2 linked regions of the Mytilus edulis genome follow. The protein of the gene in region 1 interacts with the protein of each later gene in a pairwise test. Links are inferred from orthologs where the notes say so. Each region holds a gene or a part of one and is shown in the gene's direction. Other genes may lie near its edges. The genes, in order: E3 ubiquitin-protein ligase TRIM23-like and G patch domain and ankyrin repeat-containing protein 1-like.

Region 1 (7,654 bases):
TTTTTATTTTATACATTTTTAGTTATTAGAAATGATAATCTTTAATTATAATATAAACATGATTACTATAATGATAAAAGTTATCTTGATATTTGACAGAACTGTTGTTACATGTATTAATCACCAAATCCCACCTTTATTGCGAAAAATAACATATAAACATTGAAATTTTCAAGCTTGAAAATAGCATAGGGACGATGTGGAAAAAAGTATATGATTCATTAAATTTCTTATAACTTTTCATTGAAAAGAGATTTGCAAGTTTGGTTTTTGGTAAAATCATATTTATAGGTTATAATTTGGATTTGCCTATTATTATTGTCACTTTTTAAAGTGAAAAGTGGGGAAAAATCTCTTTCTCCTTACAACTGGAACCCACAAGCACGTCTCAAATAAATTTAACTGGTCCTTTAAAATCGTCTACTCCTTTTCATGTGTGCAATATTTTATTATAATCAGGGTTAATTTTGCTAAGTAATGGTCTTCAGGTGGTATTAGCATATGAATTCGTGAAAATATGTACACTAGGTTCCACAATTACAACTACAAAAGTAGGCCCGACCATGCACAGCCATATTGAAATTTTGGTGTAAACAGGGAAGTTCACAAAAGTTTTAAACAATGTGGCTATATTTTCATGAAACCAGGGTAACTTATGTTATTATATATGAATTAATTAGGAATTGAAATTGTCAACGTTGTTTTATTGCACACCTATTGTTTTTATCAGGATTATTTATGATCTGTTAACCTTTGAAGCGTTGTTTTCTTAGCGGTCAAGTAATTAAAGTGCTGGCTTTTAGACTATATCTGGTTTATTTTCAACACTAATATATTGACTACTTATTAGTATTTTTTTGTAAACAATATCTATTTTGCCTTTAAACTATTTAATTTAATAATTATTCTTTATTTCAAAGCCACCAATTTTAAGTTTTTCTAAATATGCTGGCTTGTTTGCCGAATTCTATTGTTTACATGTACACGATCTGACAGCTGTGAATCAATAATTTACTATCGGAGCAATGAAATCTCAACGGATCAATCAGTTTCCAGTCCTGTTAGTATAATACACCTTATTGCTAGTCCCGGCTGACCCCAGAATCGGTCCCGCTCGAAACTATTGACGTCATACAACAATCCCTTTTTCATTGTGGCGTCAGATATTTTGCCTGACATCAAAATTTTACGGGAACCTGTGTGATGTCCAGTAATGGCGTACAAATAGTGATAAGGTGTATAGTCCCAGGTATAGACTGTCTGTGGTGAATTTATTAATAACCTTGATCAGTTGATAGTCAATTAGTTTATCATCTTTACATCTACATCTATCTTCAGAGTTTGCTCCAAATAAAGTTATTCTACATTTGGCTACATTTGTCTGAATAATGGTAACTGTTTTTTTACACCCTAGTCTCTATTGTCGTTGAGTAAAAATCATTAGCAGAGGAAAATTATTCAACTCAAGCAGACGATACACTGTCACATATCCAATTACTAGGAATATCACTGTCTAGAAACACTACTGTCTACTAATTTAATTAAATGTTTGTATTTTACTTCAATATTTAAACACTTAAGTAATAAAATAATCAGTAAAAATTACCTTTTAACGCCAAAAGGTGTTCTTTCTCTCTTGCCCCTTCCATCTTCTTCAGCTACTTCCGGTATAGAGAAAGCTAAGTTAGGGAAGCTGTGAAATGTATATGCGGGAGCTTCTCCATTTATCACATTCAAGTCGTTTTTTTACATACAAATAAAAGTCCTTATTTAAATGACAAACAGCACAACTAGATTGGTTTGTAAAGATATTTTCAAAATGATCGAAAAAAAATAATAGTACCCGGAAAATGCAGCATTTAATTTAGTTTCTATCTTGGGACAAATGGTTGGGGAATAAAAACAAGAGACCACAGACTGTAATAATTGGAAATGAACAACCAGGAAACAACAGACAGGGTATGTTTTAAGCATCAAAGATTCATTGACCTTCATTTGTTCATAATTCAGATATCAATATCAGCAGATCCAGTTGATTATTTGAATGCATAGATTTTAGACTGACCAAAATGAGGACAATAAAAGTTTGTTATTGTTTCACATACATGTACTTTCCATCCCAAATATTAAGATTAAGGCACTATATAAGATTAGACACTGGTAAAATCTTAACAAGGAAAAAGTTCTGACTGCTGGTATAATTCAGCAATGCTTTTGGTTATAAGATATACCATGTACAAATAAAATTTACGGGAAATCTCTTCTTCAGACAGTGTCAGGTACATGTATCTGTACCGATTATATGGATCTGCATAGCTGCAATTTGCAATATGAAGCTTTTTGTCAATTGAGCGAAGCCAAAAAGTTCAAAAGGAAAATATATTGTGTCGAGCAACTGGGGTTTTACAATATTTCTAAATACATGATAAAAAAAATCTGATTATCGATTTCTCTGATTGTGTTTGTCAATTTTAAATGATAGAAACACGTTTTTCTTTGTTTCACCAACAAGCAGGAGAATGACGTTGTGAGTTGGGGGTCTAACTTATCAATTTTTGTATATTCCAGGGCTTGCAAAAAATATATAAATTTGATATTCTGACATGAACTGTTCCATGGACAGTGCATCATTCGAAGTGTGCCACATACATTGACATACAATGTAGGTGTATTGATATCTGCCTTAGATTAATTATTTGTAGAAAATTACGCTGTCAACAATTTTGCTTTCTATTTAAAAAAAAAAACAGTTTTCTAATACATGTACATTACCTACGTGATGTTTTGACAATGATAAAATATGGACCAGAGACAGATACAATGTATGTAAAATCAGTATACATTAACAAAGCACAATTGACACATGATTGAGTTGAAGAAGCTCTTTTGACATTATTTCTTCAGGAAAACACTCGAAATTAATGTTTTACTAGTTCAAACAGCGCAGTTCTAACATTTTTTGCTTACAACCCTTATTTACACTACCTTTTTAAATTTTCATCAAATTATGTTCATGTACGTACATTTTATATTTAAGATTAATCTATTTTTTTTGTATTTTACTTAATTGATTAAATGTAAATTGATGAAATTTAAAAGAATAGATTGTAAATAAATTGACCTTTCAACATCCAGTACGAAATAGTTTACCTATTGCTTGTAAGTTATGATCTAATTGTTTTAAATACGCTTTTCAGATAGTCTTATCTGTTTTGCCATTATTTAAGTTGTTAGATTTGAACAAGGAGTATTTTCAGTTTTATTAAAAAAATAACTTGTGACTTTATTTATAATGAAACATATATGAATGTGTAGGGATTAGCCCTTTAACATGAGTCAATATACATGTATGTATAGGGTTGTTTTCCAAACCCCAGCCTGCATCTGTACCATTGTACTGATATATATATGTTGAGATACAAGTCTTGTGGGCAACAGAGGCAAAGAAGTCACATCCATTCCCATTGGCGGATCCAGGGGGTTCCGGGGTTGGAACCCCCCTTTTTTTGGCAGATCAATTCATTTGAATGGAAACATATAGTTGGAACCCCCCCCCCCCCCTTTTGTCCTGTGTTGGGAACCCCCCTTTTTAAAATGGCTGAATCCGCCCCTGATTCCCATCTGTCTTATTGCTTTACCTGACTGCAAAAAGATATATCTAGGCCCCCAGGTGTTTAAACAGTCACTTGCTAAAATTCTTTAATTTTCCAATTTGATCAAAGAAATTCAAAGACATGAACAATTTCTTTTTAAAGAAGTAAAGTGTGTGCATTGAAAATGGAGACTCAGGTCATAGATTTTGTCAAAGAAACTTCAGACAAATCAAAGTATTTTCTTCTGTTTATTAAAATACTCTGAGTGTTTTGGAAATAATTGTAACTTCAATAAGACTTGATTAAAATTGCATTTAACATGTTTAAGAAAAATAAAAAGTTTAATGTCAATATTTTTAAACAGCATGCACATGATATCAGTATTTTTTTTTAAGTTCCTCTTAAATTTGACAATAAAACACAATGCAAAAGCATTCAAATGAAAAAGGTGTGTAACCTTTTCAATATCTTATTGAAGTAAACTATCTTATACCTGAAATATATTTTCTTGAAATGAATTTTAAATGTAGCAGATGTAAGTTTAACCCTTAAAGTTTTAAAAAGTAAAGACTTAAACAGAAGTACAAAACATTGCAATTGGTGAAATAAAACCATTTTAATTTAGAATTATACATTAACGTATACATGTATTCAGATTATGAAATCTTTAGTGGAATTCTGTCTGATCCATGCAACTGCCAAAAGCATAGAAGACCTTATCACACTACTTGACTATCTACATGTATGTAACATTTCCTAGAAAGCCTAAGGTTTATTTGCACTTTGAGTCTCAAATGTGCATCTAAAATGTATTGATATTTAGACATCATGTGGTGAAACATACATGTACATGTATTTTTTTCTGGTTATATCAATATTTAACAGAAACATCTGTTATGTTGTATAATTGGAGAAAAACAACGATAAGATGCATTCTCTGCGGCTACCATTGTGAATATAAATTTACACTCTAAAATTATAGGACAAATATTACTGCAATACCGAAACTAATCCAAGAACAATAATGTTGAAAAATATTCAACAAGTTACCCAAGAACACAATTCTGCACATCGCATGAGTTATTTAGGAGGATTGTTTGGACATGTATGCTACTAACTTTTACTTATTACAGATTTTACATATTTATGAAGTGATAATTATTTCATCCAACCAAGAACATACTTGGTCTAGAGATTGAATGTTAGGTATTCATACATGTTATTTGTCTGGCTGTCAGGGTTTACATCATAAATATTGAAATACATGAAAACAGTTGATGCACCATTCCAACAAGATTTGCGAAAATCTCAATTTTATAATGATGGATCTAACCAAAATGTTCATGTTAAGAAATTACTGGAAAGGGACTGTTTAGTCTGCAGCTATATAAAAATAATGAGGTGTGGTATGACTGCAAATGAGACAACTATCCAACGAAGTATAAACGAAGTAGATGTACATTACTGTAAGCAATTATCAGTATGATTTTAATTAACTTAAAACAAAATCAATAGTTATACAAATAAAAGACAATATTCTTAGATCTATTTAAAGTGTTTAATTGGTAACCTTCTAGAATAATTATTGAAAAGAAGGTGTGGTATGATTGGCATAAGTTTATTTAAGGGGATTGATATGTTTACTCTGATCATATATAAATTTATGGGCTCGATAAACACCATTCATGTAAAAATTAGGATGTGCTATTCTGTTTGAAATAAGTTTTCTACAGGTACAAACAAACTTGAGGGGGGATAGGATGGGTCCTGATCCTGAAATCTCGGGCTTAAAAACACGAAATCTCGAATTTAAATTAAGCAAATCCTGACGTCCCGTAATCCGAAAAAAAGAATTCCCAGATCCCGAAAGGGTCAATCCTGAAATCCCGAGCTTAAAAACACCAGGAGTCGATTTCACAAAAAAACTTACGATTAAGATTTATCGTAAGTATACTGATTTGTTCATGACTTAAGATCAATCTTAGTCGTAAGTTTTTTTGTGAAATCGACTCCTGATCCCGGAGTCCCGATAAAGGTCCTATCCCTCCTCAAACTTGCAAACCAAACCAATCAGCCAACTTACCACTGTATAGATTTGATCTTCGAAATATTAATTTGAATCATACTTTGTAGGTTTGATAGTATACATTTTGATATAGTTTTAATGTTGCATGCATATGGTTTTATTTTCAGACAATACTTGAATGTCGAGTTTGTGATGATGTGTTCCGTTTCCAAGGAGACAAGGTTCCACGGTTGTTGATGTGTGGCCATACTGTTTGTCATCAGTGTCTGACCAGATTACAAGTTCATGGTACTTCTATCCTGTGTCCATTTGACAGACAGCCCACAGAAATTGGTGATTCTGGAGTATGGGGATTGAAGAAAAATTTTGCATTGCTTGAACTACTAGAGAAATTACAGTTTACAACTCAAAATGCATCAAATATTAATCTATTTGCACAACAAAATTTAGATAAGGAAAAGGAGGTAGTATACAAAACTGATGTGTTTGAGTTTATAATGATAATTATGCAGAAAAATCAAGCATACTTCTATACAACTAACATTTATAAGTAAAATGATTCATTGATGCTAAGTAAATAGGATGTAATTAATATATTGTTCATTAAATTTATCATATTTTAAAAAAAAATCTTAGGAGATAGTTATATTAATAATAATAGAAATACATATAAATATTTTGCAAGAACACATGCTTTTGCTTTTAATCATTTATACCTGTTTAATGGATTCTGTATTCTTTTAAGGTTTTTCAATACATTCATTGATAGCTCAACTTGTGAATAATATTTCTGAATTATCTCCCTTTGTACATGTACATAAAAATAATATTTATGCTTTTATTGATATAGTTTAATTAAAAAGATGCTTGTATGAAAAAAGCACCAGTTAATTTTTTGATGCAAAACAAAACATAAAAAAAACAAAAGTAGATTTTAAGTATTTATTTAAGAATTGAATGCTTCTTTTTGTAAATTTATTGGGGTGTAAAAGCGTTGACCAAAGTACATTTTGTACATAAAAATGTATGCACGGTCAACGCTTTTACAACCCTATAAAGTTACAAAAAGAAGCATTTAATACTTATAATTACATTTTTTAGCTATGATCATGAAAACACGAATTTAATAAATTTTATTATTTAATTCACCTGTGCACTTTATTGTTGGAGCACGTGTTATCATGAGTGAAAAGTTGTATTGAGCAATGCAACTGCTTACGGAATAACACGTGATGTGCAGTTAGCCAATCAGAATAAAATATTATAATGAAACATACATCTAATGTAATTATATTAAAATGATTTCTTATTACAGTTGGATATTCCATGTGACGAGAATGAACTTCACACAGCTGTGTTATATTGTATGACTTGTAGTACACACTTATGTGTAGAGTGTGCAGAACTGACACATTCCACAAGAACATTAGCAAGACACAAAAGAGTTCCATTATCTGAAAAACCAAAAGAGAATCCAAAATGTCCTTATCATCCCATGCATCTAGTAGAATTTGCTTGTTTAGAAGAAGATTGCAAAAATAATCCTTTGATGTGTTATATATGTAAAGATTATGGTAGACATGTTAAACATAGGGTAATAAAACTTATACTGTATTTTAAATATTAAGCAAAATAACCATAAAATGTCTTTTATAATAATAATTTATTGTTAAATGTAAAACCAGGCTGAACTGTGAGGCTCACCAAACACTCATCAAGAGAGGAGAGGGAATTCTAGTTGATATTTGTTATGCATCAGATCTTGAAGTCCTTTCTTCTTTGTACTAACCGTAAAAAAAAAAAGGAAAAGCCTTTTTTGTTCTTTATTTGAGCAGTTATTAGACATAATATTTTTTCATCTTATCGGGAAAATCAATTTTGTTTTTACTTATATTCAAACAAAATGCATTGTTAATTGACTGTAACATATTTCTTTACCACTTGCAAAACTTCTATAATTCTACAGACAAAAACGTACCAGATGAGATACTGTTTGCAACTTCAAGTCTCATTAAACTTTTAATTTGTAGCATTC
Region 2 (8,282 bases), on another chromosome or scaffold:
CAAATTGAATATGCATTTTTGGTGCATTTTTAACGCTGTTTTAATTATCAAATGGAGATTAAAAGTTGGAATGATAAAGGATGATATGTTAATGATAAAATAATTAAAATATAAACATGATATACATTTTAGAATAAAATATTAATATATCTGATTGATATTCTCACGACTCTTTTTTTTTCTTCCACTTTAAACCAAACAAGGATATCGCAAAAAAATGGAAAAAATTGTTATCTTAGTCACAGACGGGAAATCCACAAATGAACAGGAAACACACTCTGAGGTGGAATTATTGGAATCTGAGGGTATCAAACTGTTTACCAAGGGCATAAGTGATGACATCGACGAAGAAGCACTAAGGGCCATTGGTGATGAAGTACCAGAAATAGACTGCTTCTAATACAACATCTAGTTATTTTATCGGTACATGTTATACATGTGTTTATAATTAAAATATTTTTGAATGGAGTTAAACAAACAAACAGAATCGTTTCGCTATTGTCAGCTAAATGAATTGAGACACAAAAGCAAATAAACTCAAATGAGAAGTTCATCTCTCCGAAAATATCTTGATAATAACTAGGTTCATCCAGTGTAAAACTCATTCTGATCGTAGTTTCAAGTTGTCATTGTAATTATTTTGTTCATATCAGAACAAACAAATAGCACAAGCCATATTATCCAATTGGAAATTGCTCCCAATACAATGTAGTTGCGCTGCACTTTTTATTTAATCAAATTACTCAATTTCTCGGAGTGCTAAAGGAACAATATAAGATACGTTCAGATCAGATAACGAATCATATTCCTTTTTAAATCTAAGAATAGAACTTCAGTCATGATTCCGGACTCGATTCTGTTATGAATAATTGTTTGTCATGGTGGTTTGTTAAGCAGTCTTCTATGAGTTGGGTAAGTGCAGTGACACACGAATGCTACTACATCTGGAATAGATCACCATTGTGGTATTTGGTAAAACCTTCCAGAACTTTATGTCCTGAAAGCATTGTATTTTATTTGGCCTTTTGGTGGTTTTATTTATGCAAGCGTCACTGGCGAGTCTTTGTGGGCACGCGTCTGGCGTATAAAATTTAGGCATTGTATCTATAATGATTTTATGCATATGTCTGAATCCTGACTGTCAAAACCAGTTTACTATTTAAACAATCATAAAATTGCACTGATATGTGTCTTTCCATTAATTTTGATATGCGATTTAGAACTACAATAGGATTTATATCAGGATTCGATTTACTTCTTTCTTTCAAAATTGGACATACTATCTATAATTATAGCAATTAAAAAAGGCAAGGATATCATCCAGATCTTAAACTAGGTTATTTTTTTTGTCAAAGAAGGAGCAATTACATTATACCACATGCTTACAATTTGGCATCTATATGTATACTATACTGGTAGTCGTTGCGTTGGTTTTTATCAAGTTTTTTCAAAGATAACTTATATAGTCAATGATATTCATTACTAAAACAAAAATAGTATCATTGCTGTCGCATAAACTTGTCGGGTATTGTATACACGGCATACATGTATATGCTGAGATTAGGTATGATTGACAATAGAACAACTTTGCACCAGAGTTCAAATAAAATTGAGTGGTATAGATCAATTATATGCCACCACACGGCCTTCAACAATCAGAAGATCGTAAACCAATCTATACTGTATAGCCGGCCGTAAAACAGGGAATTTTATTCCTTGAGTGTTACTGGTGAATCTTTTGTAGACAAAATGGGCATCTGACGTACAAAAGATTAAGCCTGGTATTTATGTCCGTCCTGAACATACATGAAATATTTGACACTGAACGTTAATGAAACAACAATCAATCTATCAATATGATGACTTTGTTTAAGTGAAAAAATTGTCGACAATTTTACATTAAACTTGAAAGATGTTTTTAGTAACAGACCTGGAAGTTCAAATTTCGTTTTTGCATGTTTCTTTCCACGCTGAATGTCTTCACGTGTGGCGTTTGATTAAGAACCTCATCAAAACGAACAACCCCAGTCATTGGATTTTTTTTTTTATACTGTGTGATCTTGTTGATATTAACTGACTATCAAGAAAATTTTTGTAAAATATATACAGATGATCCACCATAAATAGCGTCCCGAATCGAAAACGTTGAAAACGTATGAAAATCGTCCAGTGGACAAACTTGCTAGACATTTCAATTCTTTGAAAACGAAGTCGTTTTGACAACGCAAATTAATATCAAAAAGTATTTAGCTGTTTAGTAGAGTTAAAGTACAATTACGAAAAAGCACTATTCAACATGCAAAAAATCTAAATTTTCAATAAATAACGTCACAAATGATAGTTTATTAGTAAAAAGCGGCAAAATCTGAGATTGGACATCTTGCAAGACATTTGTATATGTGGTGGTGTTTAACGACCTTGACTGGCTATACAGCCCTCGCACGGTCGGCTCGGTGCCCGAAGGCGTTTGGTGAGCTTTATCATATTTTGATGCCATGGGTCAGGAACAAGTAGTGGAGGTCGCAATATGGAGGCCGCCATCTTGGTTTTGGTGAGTTGTTTTTGGTTTTTGACTATTTTGGATTTTACTTCTTCACAACGGCTGCTTTCAGGGCCAGTTTGGTCAGCTTGGCAGCCCGCTAACCTCGATGAGTGAGTACTGGTAGATGAATGGTGGACGTAGTTCTAAAGATGACAGGAAGCGTTATCAGAACCAAAGCCGTGAGGCAGTGAAATGAAGGTCGTATCACCCAACAGCCTAGGATACAGCCCTCGGACGTTAATCGGCATAACACTCCCCATGATACAATGGATTTGAAGTGCATGTTAACGCGGGTACGCCAACTACTACGTCTATCTGTACGGCATGGATTGGTTTCTGTCATCTTAAGTAGTATGTCGTTGTTCATCTAACTGTAAACCCTCATCGAAGATAGCGGGTAAAGGAGAGCTGGCCCAGCACGTCCGTTCAGCTGTAATGACTGAGACGTGGGATTTGCTTGAAGCCGTTGCATTTTTATATGTGGTGTGAGTGCTTCAAAAACTTGATTTTGACATGGTCTATCTATGAACTTTTGTGAGCATAATTTGCACAAACGGAAATGTCATATAATCTTATATTTTAAAACCTATAAATTTTGATAAAAAAAGTAAAATCACAAAAATACTGAACTCAGAGGAAAATCAATTCGGAAAGTCCATAATCACATGGCAAAATCAAATAACAAAACGCATCAAAGTGAACGGACAAGAACTGTCATATTCCTGACTTGGTACAGAAAACTTAACATTTTCCTAAATCTGACCATAATGAACACTATTTGTTTTTGCCAAAAGATAGCATTGGTCGCATCTTCACTAGCCAAGGGTTACGATCCACCCGCGCTCTCTTCACCCTTGGCGGATTGAGATAACATTTCGGAGACACAGGGTAAGGATTTTTATTGGTTGCAGTCGAAACTCGCTGCATCCAATCAAAAAGCGCCTTGAACATGATCGCGTGAAAATGTAGAAAGTGTTTGTAAACAATTGCCACGTGTTTATTGTGCAACAAGTCTTTACATCCGTAAACATACGACTATATTTAGTGACAACTTGAATGTTTTTAATCAACTAATAGAAGTTCCTGTGTATGTTTCATGCACAATGAATGTTGACGTAAATTTTCGTTTCCGGCTTTAGAACCAAGTGTGTAGAATTTATACAACTACCGTGTTTTTACCTCCAAATTGAAGAGTTCAAGTGCTACCATTGGTCAAGAATAATGTATTCGGATTGGGCGTGACTTAAATATTCCGACAGATGGCGCAACATTGTTTTCACAAATGTTGGCTCAATCCGCCAAAGGTGAAGAGAGCGAGAGTGGATCGTAACCCTTGGCTAGTGAAGAGAGCGAGAGTGGATCGTAACCCTTGGCTAGCGAAGATGCATTGGTCGTTACAGGAACGCATATTCAGTAATATTGTAATACTTTAAAAATTAAGCATATCATGCATTCGAATTTTCGCGGATATAGCACTGTTTTGAAGAACAAAAACACCCCTGCTAAAGTTATTATGCGTGTACTATGATATCAACGGTTACGTTTGACACACACATTTTTGACGTTTTGTCAACATATTGTCCTTATTTTAGACTATTGTAAATTATGATAAAACAGTTTGTAGTTTTTTCGGAATAGTATTTACCTGTCAAGTCTATGGATATAAATTTTATATAACTTAACTATTATGATTTTATAGAAAAGCTGTTTATAAGGCCGTGGACTGGTTGATCAGAGGCGGATTTAGAGGGGAGCCCAGGGGGCCCGCCCCCCCCCTTTTTGGGAAAAAAATTGGTTGCTTATATAGGGAATCACTGAAGCGTGACTCGAGCGGGCCCCCTCTTAGGTCAGTCAATGGGCCCCCACTTATGAAAATTTCTGGATCCGCCACTGTTGATTACACGGTACAACTTCCGAAGCAAGGTTGTCGGCTCTCCGAACTTTCCCGAAGTCCTGCGTTTATGAGCTTCGGTCCTTGCTGGCTTGGAAGTTGTACACGGTATTGACGCAATAACGTGCGTAACGTCACAACATGTAAATGAAAAAATAAAATATAGTAAACTTGAAAGATGTAAAAATAAAAAAGCCTTTTATTTTTACATCTTTCTTTATTGTTATATATCAGTATGTATGGTCGGATTATGTTTCTGTGTGTAAGAGAGAGTTGTTCCCCGTTTGCCAGTATTTTGTATTTATGTTTGTGACGTCATCTTTGTCTGATTAAAATGTAGAAATGGAAGCTGATGTGTTTTTATGTGTCCGTATGTAATCGCCTCCATCCATGCTACCAGAGCTATTCCCCTAGTCTGTAATATTATATATACAGGCATCTTAACAAGCTTATTTATATAACAGGCATCTTAACAAAATGTGTACAAACTTGTAAAATACGTCGGATGGTGTTTTTTTTAAGTTACGAAATACTACTTACAGGAACTTTCTATACTGTAGTTAAGGATAGAAAGAAAGTCCCTGTCATGCATAAGATCTACAAAAGTCTGAGAAAAGTAAGGTTCGGATTTTCGAGCTCACTTCACGTCCGTTGTTGATCCCGAAATTACATTAGACACTTCCGGTGTAAATAAAAGTCGTTTTGATAACGTTTGGAAAACCAATTTAAAGATTAACAGCAGCATACATGTAAGATTTCCATTTGTTATGATATATATCAGTCATAGGGGTTAATGAAATGTTTTGTATACATGAATGAGACAATATCTCAACGTAAACTATGGTTCTGCCTTAGTTAACATAACAGCATAACACAAAACAGGTGAGTTGGTCAGCTGGAGTCGATTTCACAAAAAAAACTTACGGCTAAGATTGGTCGTAAGTATACTGAATTGGCCATGACTTACTACCAATATTAGTCGAAATTTTTTTTTGCGAAATTGACTCCTGGTCTGGCTTCACTCAGTCACGAATCCGGGTCCGTTCGCCCTGATTCATGTTCGCCCAAGTACCTGTTCGCCCTGATACCTGTTCGCCCAGGGTCCATTTGCCCTGATTATTATTTTTTTCTAATTGTTGTCTAGTCGCATTATTTTAAGTGTTTGAACAAATTATGTTAAAGTTTGTTGAAAAATTGACAGAATATTTATATTGCCGCAATCAATTTATCATTTTCCCTTTGATTTGCAGAGTAGAATACTGGAATACAATGTATTTATCTTTATTGATATTTGTTAACAAAATAATTGTAATCAGTGAGTCAATCACGAAAGTATGCAGTATAAATAAATGAACTTGTAAATCCGTTTCATAATTTACAGTTCGTACATCATTAGTTTTATTAATTTCAAGCTGAATATTTTATCAAAATAAAACGTTTGTTTTTATTATAAATCCATCAAAAGACAAGTTTCACAATAATCAGTTATCCGAATTATTTTGTGATTGAACAATTAATGATCAAAAACAAGCCATAAACTTTTAAATATTTCAATGTTTCCATAAATTTCAAGAATATACATGATTTATATACCATAGAAATATCTGAATTAGTTTATTCAACGTCAATGCCCTGAATATTAATATTTTTATAGTAGGGCGAACGGACTCTGGGCGAACGAACTCAGAGCGAACGGACCTAGGGCGAACATGTTATTAGGGCGAACGGTCCCGATACCCTCAGTCACCTCAGGTGGTCCTAGTATAATTGTGCTAAATAAAATTGAGAATGGAAATGGGGAATGTGCACAAGAAACTAAAAGTTAAATAATACAAGACTAACAAAGGCCAGAGGCTCCTGACTCAATCTAATTAAAAACCGATCTCTCATCGCTCCTGTTTCTGATATGTCGCGTGGGAGATCTAACGAAACCGGCTTTGAGGTCACATGTGAGTGAACTAAAAGTTATGAATTTATAAAGATATGCAAATGAGTTGACGACCTATTAATAAGCCAATCAAAAAAGTTTATGAATTATTTTGACTGACGATTTCGTCGTAAATAAAATGAGTTACATCCCTTTGCCTTACGTTAAACTTCCAAGATCGTGGAAGACTCAATTTCATTGGTTGAAAAAGACACACCTACGAGGTCACTCACATGTGACCTCAAAGCGGGTTTCTTTAGATCTCCCACGCGACATATCAGTAACAGGAGCGATGAGAGATCGGTTTTTAATTAGATTGCTCCTGACTTGGGACAGGCGCAAAAATGCAGCGGGGTTAAACATGTTTGTGAGATCTCAACCCTCCCCCATATGTACCTCTAGCCAATGCAGAAAAGTAAACGCATAACAATACATTGTACGCACATTAAAATTCAATTCAAGAGAAGTCCGAGTCTGATGTGAGAAAGATGTAACCAAAGAAAATAAACAAAATGACAATAATACATAAATAACATCAGACTACTAGAGTTAACTGACATGCCAGCTCCAGACTTCAATTAAACTGATTGAAAATTATGTCTTCATCATATGAATATCAGACACAATCCTCCCCGTGAGGGGTTTAGTATCATACCATCAATACATATATGAGAAGAACATAACCCATGTCATGCCAACAACAGGTTTATTATGATAAATGTGTTTAGTTCCGATGCAAAGACCCTATTTATAAGTGAATCAATATTAACGCCAAAATATGCAATCTTTAATGACCTGACAACAGTATCGTAACTACATGTATATCCCTTCTTAATAAGTCTATTTAAGGTTTTGTTAGCTTCTGAGGTGAATACTGACATTTTTGTGCTTTATAATGAATATCATGAATATTTCCATAAAATATTGGATGTGAAATACCTGAACGTATAAGAAGTCTGCATGTTGAGCTATATTTACGAATGATGTCCTTATATCGATGATAAAATTTAGTAAATGTTTTGACTACATTGTGTATATGTAGTTTGTGATATCGAAAACCCTGGTGTAATAATTTTTCAGAAATACATAAATTTCTCTCGTTAAAATCTAAAACATTGTCATGATTGTTACATACATGAACACGAGCGAATCGTACAAGTTGAGATATATAAACACCGTAAGATGGTGACAAGGGAACGTCACCATCTAAAAATGGATAATTAATGATAGGAAATGAGAAATCATCTCTTTTATCATAAATTTTAGTATTAAGCTTTCTGTTAATGATATACATGTATATATCAAGATAGAGGAAAGGAAAGGTATACATCAATGAACTGCAAACCAGTAAAGACTTACAATGTAGGTCAAACTGTGGCCTACAACACAGAGCCTAGGCCCAAGGTGAACAGCAATTTATAAAGAGCCCCAAAAATGACATGGGTAAAACCTTCAAGGTTTATGACCCCTTCTGTAGCCATTTTTGTACAGAATTTTCAAACTTCAATTGTATCAAAACTACAGATATAATGAATAATAGAGATACATGTAGGCCATTTTGTACATATACCGAGAGGAAACTTGATGCAAACCACTATTATTTATTGTTTCATTGCATTTAATAGAAAAAGAGTACTATGTGACAAATAAACTAAGATTTTTATAGAAAATCCACAGACTTTATTACAGAGATGTTTGTTATATATTTGAAACATAGATTACTCACTTGCTTTTCTATGATGTGCTAGTTTTTATTTTTTACAAAAAATTCTAAGCAACCTGTAAATTCCAAAATACCTTGTGCTGATTCACTAAAGTCAAGCACACCCTATGTCTTATTCCACAACACATTCCAGGGTAACAACATATCCCTTTTAATTCATTTTCTTGTTTTTATATGTTTGCAAACTTTCACACAAGCG

The links.
Region 2: the proteins of E3 ubiquitin-protein ligase TRIM23-like (region 1) and G patch domain and ankyrin repeat-containing protein 1-like interact in binary tests that used the Homo sapiens proteins (3 or more experiments, as listed by UniProt). The link is inferred for Mytilus edulis from reciprocal best matches to the Homo sapiens genes TRIM23 and GPANK1.

The regions. Positions count from the first base shown.
Region 1 is NC_092344.1:72,201,563-72,209,216, forward strand, and holds the start of E3 ubiquitin-protein ligase TRIM23-like, read left to right. Parts: upstream 1-4,466; 5' UTR 4,467-4,617; coding exon 4,618-4,698; intron 4,699-5,786; coding exon 5,787-6,083; intron 6,084-6,934; coding exon 6,935-7,213; intron 7,214-7,649; coding exon 7,650-7,654.
Region 2 is NC_092352.1:27,816,831-27,825,112, forward strand, and holds the start of G patch domain and ankyrin repeat-containing protein 1-like, read left to right. Parts: upstream 1-5,069; 5' UTR 5,070-5,182; intron 5,183-8,282. Other genes in the region: collagen alpha-1(XIV) chain-like, read left to right, coding at 204-400.